Sus scrofa: one gene and its partner. Each later gene encodes a partner of the first gene's protein in a complex. Links are inferred from orthologs where the notes say so. Each region holds a gene or a part of one and is shown on either strand. Other genes may lie near its edges. The genes, in order: MYBBP1A and SMARCA5.

Region 1 (4,411 bases):
GCTGGTGCCTGGTGATTTTTTGCTCCCCCCCTGTTCTGCTTACCTTCTGCCTCCTGAGGCACCATGTGTACAAAGTAAACTGCTTATTCACATTTTCTTTTTTTTCTTTTTGTCTTTTTGCCTTTTCTAGGGCTGCTCCCGCAGCATATGGACGTTCCCAGGCTAGAGGTCAAATCGGAGCTGCAGCTGCCGGCCTACGCCAGAGCCACAGCAACGTGGGATCCGAGCAGCGTCTGCAACCTACACCACAGCTCACGGCAACACCGGATCCCCAACCCACCGAGCAAGGCCAGGGATCGAACCTGCAACCTCATGGTTCCTAGTCAGATTCGTTAACCGCTAGCACCACAAAGGAAACTCCCAACTGCTTATTCACATTTTCTGAAACAGACAGCAGAGGGAGGGGTTGAGAGGGTGAGTAGGAGGTGCCCCGGGGGCCACAAAAGGGGCCGGATCTGGGTAGCCAAGGCCCTCCCCTCCCTGCCTCCCTAAGGGCTGGGGTCTCTCTGAACTATAACCCTCTAGAGACAGCTTGTCAAGCCAAGAAATAGGGGTGGCCAGTAGCTCTCCTCTCCTGCACTGTAAACGGTATCTCTGATCTAAGAGGACTTTTGATCCCACCACCTCTCCCTCCTTGCTCCCCCCACAAACACTAGTTCCCCCAGCTCAGTAAATGATATCACAGTCTACCCACTTTCTTTGTTTTTCTTTTTTTAGGGGCCACACCTCCAGAATATGGAAGTTCCCAGGACAGGGGTCAAATCGGAGGGAGCTGCAGCTGCCGGTCTACATCACAGCCACAGCAACGTCAGATCCAAGATGTGTCTGTGACTTAAAGCCTCCGCTTTCGGCAACACCAGATCCTTAACCCATTGGATGAGGCCAGGGACCAAACCTGCATCCTCACGGATATTAGTCAGATTCTTAAGCCACTGAGCTACAAGGGGAACTCTCACAATCTACCCACTTATTTTGGCCCCAAACCTATCATCCTTCTCTTTTTCATCACCTTCTACCAGCTCCAAATTAGCTGGAATTTTCTCATATTACCTTGGTCCAATCCACCACTGTGCAACTGGTCTTCCTGCTTCCACCCCTGCTCTCCTGCAATCCATCCCCCACACAAAGAAGACTAGTCTGCTAAAAGTATGGATAGGATCAAGACTTGTCCCTGCATAAAACCCTCCAATGACTTCCTATTACAATCAGAATAAAATCCAAACTCCTGAGCTCCCTGAGTGAGCGCGGAAGGGCCCAGCCGCCCCCGGCCCGGCCCGGCCCCGCCCTTTCCCCCGCCCCCAACCGGCTCCGCCCCCAGCCGACCCAACCCAGTGCGCACGCGCCGCGACCTGACCCGGAAGAGGCAGTCTTCAGGTCCCACGTGTTCCACGAGCATGGCGGAGACGGAGAGTATGGACGTCGCTGAGCCTGTGTCTCCGGTGGAGGTCCCGAAGACGGGCGCCGGGCCTGCCGACCGTCATGGTCTGCTGAAGCACAGCCGCGAGTTCTTGGACTTCTTCTGGGACATTGCGAAGCCGCAGCAGGAGACGCGGCTTGAGGCCACGGAGAAGCTGCTGGAGTATCTGCGCGCAAGGCCAAAGGTGTGGTGGCGGGGCCTGGGGCAGGAATCTGCGGGGCTTGGGGGCAGGAAGCTGCGTAGATCCCGGCAAAAATATGGCGGCGGGCCCCAGGACTCGGGACTGGGGTCATGGAGTCGCGAACCTGGAGGCCGAGGCGAATGCGCGCCGAAGCGCGAGGATGGGCGGGTGCCTGACGCGTCTTTTCCCTGGTGCACCTGGGGATGTGCTTGGTTCCTCAGGGATCGTCCGAGATGAAGTACGCCCTGAAGCGCCTAATCACCGGGCTCGGGGTCGGACGTGAAACAGCCCGGCCCTGCTACAGTCTGGCCCTAGCACAGGTGAGGTGGTGGCTCCCTGGAGGAGGCCAGCCATCCTACTCGGAGCGGTGGGGAGTGAGGAGGGCAGATACGGGGGAAGTGGCTGCTGAGAGGTTGTTGGGGTGGCGTCGGAGCTAATGGAGGGTGTCCCCACGTGGACGTGGAGAGAGTGTGTGAGCAAGATCTTTCTGCAGAGACGCCCAGGCAGGTGGAGTGGGAGGGTGAGTTTGCTTTTGAGTACATGGGTTCACCAACCACCAAGGTACATTTACTGTGGGCAGTAAGCTTTGGAGTGGGTTCACTTACCTTTTTAGGGTTCAGGGTCCGCCCCCCCCACTTGGCTAATTATAGGCCACCCAGTCCTTGTGGATCAGCCTGGGGGGAGCTCAGCAGGCTCTGGGGCAGAATGTCTCGGGGATCTCGGGGCACAGTCCAGGGGCTAAAGGAAGTACTTTCTGAAACAGGGAGGCAAGATTTCTCTCCATTCACTGCAGTGTTCCATCGTCAGCACTGCCCAGCATGGGGTGGGGCGTAGGCAGCTTTTGAGGCGTCCTTTGGATGGGAGCAGGGGCCCATGGACTCTGGGCAGAAGTTGAAGGGAGAAGTGGGAGGAGGTTGAGGTCTGAGGGATGTGGCTGGGCCGCTCCCCTGAGCCCCTCTCTTCCTCCTGGCAGCTGTTACAGTCTTTTGAAGACATCCCTCTCTGCAGCATCTTGCAGCAGATACAGGAGAAGTATAACCTGCAGAAGGTGAAGAAGGTGAGAATTAGTGGCCCCAGGGAAGTCGGCAGCCCCGGGGTGGGGAGCGCTTGGGCCCTTCTCACCAGTGCCTGGAATCCTTTTCCAGGGGATGATGAGACCAGCTCTCTTTGCAAACCTGTTTGGGGTGCTAGCCCTCTTTCAGTCAGGCAGGCTGGTGAAGGTAAGAGCCTTGGGGATCCCAGGGCGCGTGTGGACTAGCTTGGGAGTTGGAGGAGTGGCAGAGCCCTGTTGACACCCTGTCCCCTTCTGGGGGGGTCCCAGGACTCGGAGGTGCTGATGAAGTCGGTGAAGCTGCTGCAAGTCCTGGCTCAGCACTACAACCACCTGCAGGAGCAGCCCCAGAAGGCCCTGGTGGACATCCTTTCTGAGGTACTGGCTCACCAGCTTTGGGGCCTCTGATTGATAGCGCAGCCTGTTCCAGAACGTGGGGAAGACTCAAGTTAATGCCTGGAAGCAGGACTGTCCACAGATACATAAATGTGCACTGTGACACTTTGTAGTAACTAAGTTTAAAAAGTAAAAAGAAACAAGTATAGTTGAGTAGCATGTTTTATTTAACCTAGTATATCTGCAGTATCACTTTAGTCTGTAATCGGTATAAAAAGTTACAGAGGAGTCGTTCCAGTGTCCTGGCTCAGTGGAAATGAATCCAACTAGGAACCATGAGGGTGCAGGTTTGGTCCCTGGCCTTGCTCAGTGGGTTAAGGATCCGGCATTGCTGTGAGTTGTGGTGTAGGCTGGCAGGTGTAGCTCCAATTAGACCCCGAGCCTGGGAATCTCCATATGCTGCGGGTGTGGCCCTAAAAATACAAAGGACAAAAAAAAAAAAAAAGGTACGGAGGTAGTTGAGGAGTTCCCACCATGGCACAGAGGATTAAGAATCTGGCTGTAGCAGCTCGAGTTCCTGCGGAGGTGCAGGTTTGTTCCCCAGCCCGGTGCAGTGGATTAAAAGACCTGGCTTGCCACAGCTGTGGCTCGGTTTCAATCCCTGGCATGGGAACTTCCATATGCCACACACAGATGGCGGCCATAAAATTTTTTTCGAAAAAGATCTATAGGCCAGTAGCTGCAGCTCCATTTTGACCCCTGGCCCGGGAACAGCCCTTAAAAAAAGAAAAAAGCTGTAGAGGTATTTTATGGTTCCTCTCATGTTAAGTCTCCAAAACCCGGTATGCATTTTACACTGACAGCACGTGTCCATTCAGAATAGCGAATTCTAAGTGCTGTGTCCATGTGGGGCCAGTGGCTGCCATATTGGGTAGCAAGAGGGTGAAACCTGTTGGCCATTATTGTCTGGGTCGGAGCTGGCCCCTTCGGGGGGTCCCCACCACTCTGCTTGGGAAATGGAGGCGGACTAGGACCTAGAATCCTTTGCTGTTGGGGAAGAGGCAGGGACTGGCACGTCCCAGGCCAAGGCTTTCTTTACAGCCCCAGCCACAGAGCCAGAAGGACCCGGAGTTCGAATCCCAACTCTTCACTTGGAGCTCCTTGTATAAGAAGCAAGCTGGTCCTGGGAGTTCCCTGGTGGTTTAGTGGTTAGGACTTGGTGCTTTCACAAAGATCCTGCACCAAGCCGCTGTATGCCGCAGCCAGGGAGAAAGGAAGGAGGGAAGAAAAGGAAGAGGCTAATCCTGAAAGACTCAAAAGAGGAATGATCAAAAGGGCACACCTGGGCCAGTGAGCGCCAGAGAGGAGCTCGTTTAAACCTAGCTTCTGGGGCTTGGGGATTTGAGCTTTTTTAACAGATACCCTC
Region 2 (4,598 bases), on another chromosome or scaffold:
TTGCTCAGCAGGTTAAGGATCTGGCCTTGCTGTGAACTGTTGGGTAGGTCACAGACATGGCTCTGATTCTGCATTGCTATGGTGTAGGCTGGCAGCTGTAGCTCCAATTGGACCCCTAGCCTGGGAACTCCACATACCCAGGGTGCAGCCCTAAAAAGCAAAAAAATAAAATAAAATAAATAATAATACACAAACTCATTTTAGAAAAATAAAAAAAGAGAAACAAAAATGAATTAGGTAATATACATCAACAACAATCACTTTCAATAATTTTAGGACTATCCTTCCAAAGTTTTATCTATATTTTTGAACTGTTAAAATTTTTTAGTTACTACTATATAATAAACTTTTTTCTACAGTCTGGTTGTTACAAGTTAATAATAATTCACTTTGTGGTATACAACAGTTTTAAAATCAAACTTTCAATGTTGGACTATATTGTGCTAGCATTTCTCAAGTACATATAAAGACGATGATGATCATCATTTATATAGTTTTCTTTTTATCTATCCTTGGGGGTTCCCTAGAGTCTCAGACAGGGCATTTCTAATAGGCTGGGGAACATTCTTCCAGATCTCAAAGAATTATCATTGAATTGGTTAAAAGTTTGCAGGTTAAATATTCAAAGGAAATCCCTTCTGTTTGTAATTCAGCATAGTCAATGGTTTGGTCAAACCTTGACTCTTGACAAGTTTGTCTCCTTTATTCAATACGTACTAATAGAATATTGGATATGGGGATATAAAGATGAGTAAGAGCCTATGCAGGGCAAATAACAATTTAGTGCAGTATGCAGATTTGCTGTCAAATAGAACACCATGTGCTTAAATTCTGCAGTAGGTGGATGCAAAAGGCTGTGTTGAACATAGCGTAAAGCAATGTACAAACCAGTGATTACTTGTAACACTTTTTTAGAAGAATGTCTGTTTTTATTTAATATTTGGTGGTTGAGGAAAAGATATAACCTATTACCTCTCTTTCTTATCTGCTAATTACTCTTGTTTCTCACATGGTGGTTGGCGCAGTTTGCTTACTTTTAGCATGTAAACTTAGAGGAAATATCGTCTAACTCTACCGAAGAAGGAATTTAGAAATGATCAATCATATAGCTAACATAAGGATGACAAAACAAACAAAAATCACACTAACAGGCACTCTTCTTAGACAACAAAACAGTGAGACGTCAACTGGGAAAACCGTATCATTGTCAACTCTGTGGCGTCACGCCAATAAGCGGAGGCGGTAAAAGAGAGGCCTGCAGAAGCCTCTACGCTGCAGCAGGCGGCGCAAGACCCGGGCAATTTTTCGAGCAGCGCTGGGATTACTGCCAAGCTGGGGAAGCACAGCGACCCGGCACAGCGAGCCGTTAAGAACGACTGTAAGACTGCGGTGGCGTCACGCCCGGAAACCGACGCACAAACTTACGTCTCCGAGCCCTCCTTTGAGGCCCCGCCCACTCATCGCCCTAGAGCCCGTAGGGGCACAGGGGGCGTGGCCAAGAGCTTGGAGTAGAGAATGCGCATGCGTACTTTGAAACCCCGGTCTCTTAGCTAACTATCAATCTCGCGAGTGTTGAAAGTCGGTGGCGTAGGTAGTAGACCTGGATGCTGGCGAGATACCTGATATCTACCAGAGGAAGAAGAGGAGGCGGCTAGGCTAGTTCCTGGTCTTGGTCCTTCTTGCTTTCCTTTCTTTTTCCCCCAACTCTCCGCCCTCCTGTAAATCGGCCTGCCTTCTCTGACCTCAGTGACCCGGGTGGCCCCGCCCACCCTCGTCGACGTGATTCCCGCCGTGAGGTAAAGCGCCGGTCGAACCCAGAGCCGGGAGGAAGAGGAGGACAGCTAGAGGGGGAGGCTCCTGGGCCTGGCTTGGGCTCGTCGCCGAGCTGCGGAGAGGAAGCATTCGGGTGGTCCTTCCGCTCCTCCATCGGCTCACTGCGACGTAGCCACCCAGGCCTAGGCCTCCTCCTCATCCCTGCTGGGCCGGGCCTCTGGCAGCAGCGGGTGACGCAGACGGAACATCATGTCGTCCGCGGCCGACCCTCCGCCACCCCCGCCTCCCGAGAGCGCGCCTTCCAAGCCCGCATCCTCCGCCGCCTGTAGCGGGAGCAACAACAGCAACAAAGGCGGCCCCGAGGGCTTCGGCGTCCCGGCGGCTCCCTCCGCGGCCGGCGCCGGCCCCACGGACTCCGAGATGGAGGTAAGGACGGCCTGTGGCATGGGGAGAGGGCGGGATAGGGAGGAGGAACTGGTTCCCTCTGCTGTGTATTGGTGATAAAACGCGAAGCCGAACTTCACTCCTCTGCACCCAAACTCGGCCTCAGACCCTTGGATGATCCGAAATGATGCTCTCCCTTGCGCCCTTCTGCTTACCTATGCAAGTAGACTCAGCTGGGTCTCTGGCACCTCATATTTGCGTTATTTGTCTCTTTCGCGAACCTTGCCAAATCCTCAAACGCTCTTATTAGACACATGTTCTTGATTACTGAGGCCGAGACGGATCTGCCGACTTTTTTTTTTAAGTGAGGCTCCCATAATTCCCTCGCCCATCTCTGAATCTCGATTTTAGTTTCCACTAAACCTGGGGGGAGGGGGAGGGAGATTTCCCTTTAGGAACGAGGGTAGACGGACGGGGTGGGGAAGGCATTTAAAAGCAGCGCATCCGAGGATTTGGGCCTCCTTTTCTTCATCCCGGTCCTTGCGGGGGCGGTATCTGTTCTGGGCAGAAACAATGGCGAGAGCTGGATGGCTGAGGGCGCAGTGGGGATAAGCGGGGCGCAGCTGCTCCTGTGAAGGGAGAGGAGGCTCCTCCCAGGCGCTGTTCCATTGGGAGGGAAGCGACCAAGGCAGCGGCAGCTGTCTGGAACCCCCATCTAATTTGGGGGTGGGGTGATGGATGGAAGGATGAATGATTTAGTGAGTCAGGGGTTGGGGGGGGGTTGGGGGTTTTCAGACCAGCACTCCTGTAGGGCATTGGCCTGTATTTGAGAATTGGTACCCCTCCCTGCCGCGGAGCCTGCCTTCTGGGCTGGGGTTGGCCGGCCAGGGGATGGTGACAATACTGCGGGGGTGGAAAGATTGGGGAACAGCCAGGCGGGTCTCTTGGGTGTGCTCCAAGGCTTTGCGATGTCTGGGAACAAAGTGATTGCTTGCTCCTTCCAAATTTTATTCTTGGCTTTCGATCTGTTTTGATATATGTTATAGTCGCAGGCCAGAGATTTCTGGGACTTTTCCATCCTTAGATAGATTGAGCTAAGGTAATACTGCTTTAAAAATGAACATTGCTGCAGAATTAACGCAATAAGGAAATGGTAGCGCGGTTTACCATTGAAGCATTTGGCGCAGTAGTTTTATTTGGGCCCCAGCGGTCTAGTCTAGGATGAAGTAACACGTTAGTTTTTGGAAGAACTTTTAGGTGAAGGTGGACCTCGATAGAATAGGACTTCTGGTATTCTGTAGTTTTCGGTGTCTTGAGATTTGTTTCAAATTCCTGTCTGGTGTTGCCTATTTTTCTCTTTAGGTTTTAAATCGTTTTTTGAATTATCAGGGTTAACGTGGATTCCTGCTTCCTGGCCTAAGGGGGTTTGAAAGTCTGACATTGAAAGCAATTGTATGTAAATATACCGTTCTGAACAAATTGATGTTTTGCTGTTCTCAGCTTCTCAAAGGGGGCTGTCATTCAAATTTTGGAATAACAAGCACAGTCTCACTAGGGGTGTTACAGAATCAGAAAGCAGAATAATTTAAAGCCTAAACTGAATATTTTGGCTTCAGTTGCTATTTTTAAAGTTAAAGTGGAATAAAAGTTTAACTATGATTATTAAGGATATAACAAGGACCATATGAAGTCAGTGGTATTTTTATTTGCCAAATGAGAAAATTGAGTCTTCTGGTAAGTAGAACCTGTGATAGAACCCAGGTCTGGCTCTGAAGCTGACCATTTCCCCACGTATCTTGCCCTGTCATAGTCTTAAAAAAAGATGTTTGACAATTTTTATTTATTAAAGAATGATTTAGTTATCTTTTACCTTCTCAGTATAGGAATATCAGTAGTTTTATCCACCTTTTCACTGAATAGTTTTAGTTTTTGTTTTTTCCCTTACATTATAGGGTGGTTTTTCTTTTTTTCATTTTGGGGGGGGGGTCTTAAAAAAAAAAATACCTTCAGTCTCTTCTTTTTCCTTAACTGAATTTAGAAATCATTGAAGTTCACTGGTTAAAAACTAGATTTCTGCATACATGTGTAACGTATCTGACAATCTGTTTCACAACTTAAAAAAATATTTTAGGAGTTCCCGTCATTGCGTAGTGGAAACGAATCTGACTAGGAATCATGAGGTTGCAGGTTCGATCCCCCTGGCCTTGCTCAGTGGGTTAAGGATCCGGCAATGCCAGGAGTTGTTGTGTAGGTTGCAGACACGTCTCAGATCTGGAGTTAACTATGGCTGTGGTGTAGGCTGGCGGCAACAGCTCCAATTAGACCCCTAGCCTGGGAACCTCCATGTGCCACGAGTGCAGCCCTAAAGAGACAAAAAAGACAATAAAAAATAAAAAAATTAAAGAAATAAAAAGTACTTTCAAATGTCTTTTTCTTGTTTG

What was found.
Region 2: MYBBP1A (region 1) and SMARCA5 share a complex: the UniProt entries of both Homo sapiens proteins name them as parts of the B-WICH complex. The link is inferred for Sus scrofa from reciprocal best matches to the Homo sapiens genes MYBBP1A and SMARCA5.

The regions. Positions count from the first base shown.
Region 1 is NC_010454.4:50,503,011-50,507,421, reverse strand, and holds the start of MYBBP1A (myb-binding protein 1A), read left to right. Parts: upstream 1-1,345; 5' UTR 1,346-1,394; coding exon 1,395-1,601; intron 1,602-1,819; coding exon 1,820-1,918; intron 1,919-2,571; coding exon 2,572-2,655; intron 2,656-2,743; coding exon 2,744-2,818; intron 2,819-2,919; coding exon 2,920-3,027; intron 3,028-4,411. UniProt on the Homo sapiens protein: May activate or repress transcription via interactions with sequence specific DNA-binding proteins. Repression may be mediated at least in part by histone deacetylase activity (HDAC activity).
Region 2 is NC_010450.4:84,221,848-84,226,445, reverse strand, and holds the start of SMARCA5 (SWI/SNF-related matrix-associated actin-dependent regulator of chromatin subfamily A member 5), read left to right. Parts: upstream 1-1,502; 5' UTR 1,503-2,022; coding exon 2,023-2,199; intron 2,200-4,598. UniProt on the Homo sapiens protein: ATPase that possesses intrinsic ATP-dependent nucleosome-remodeling activity.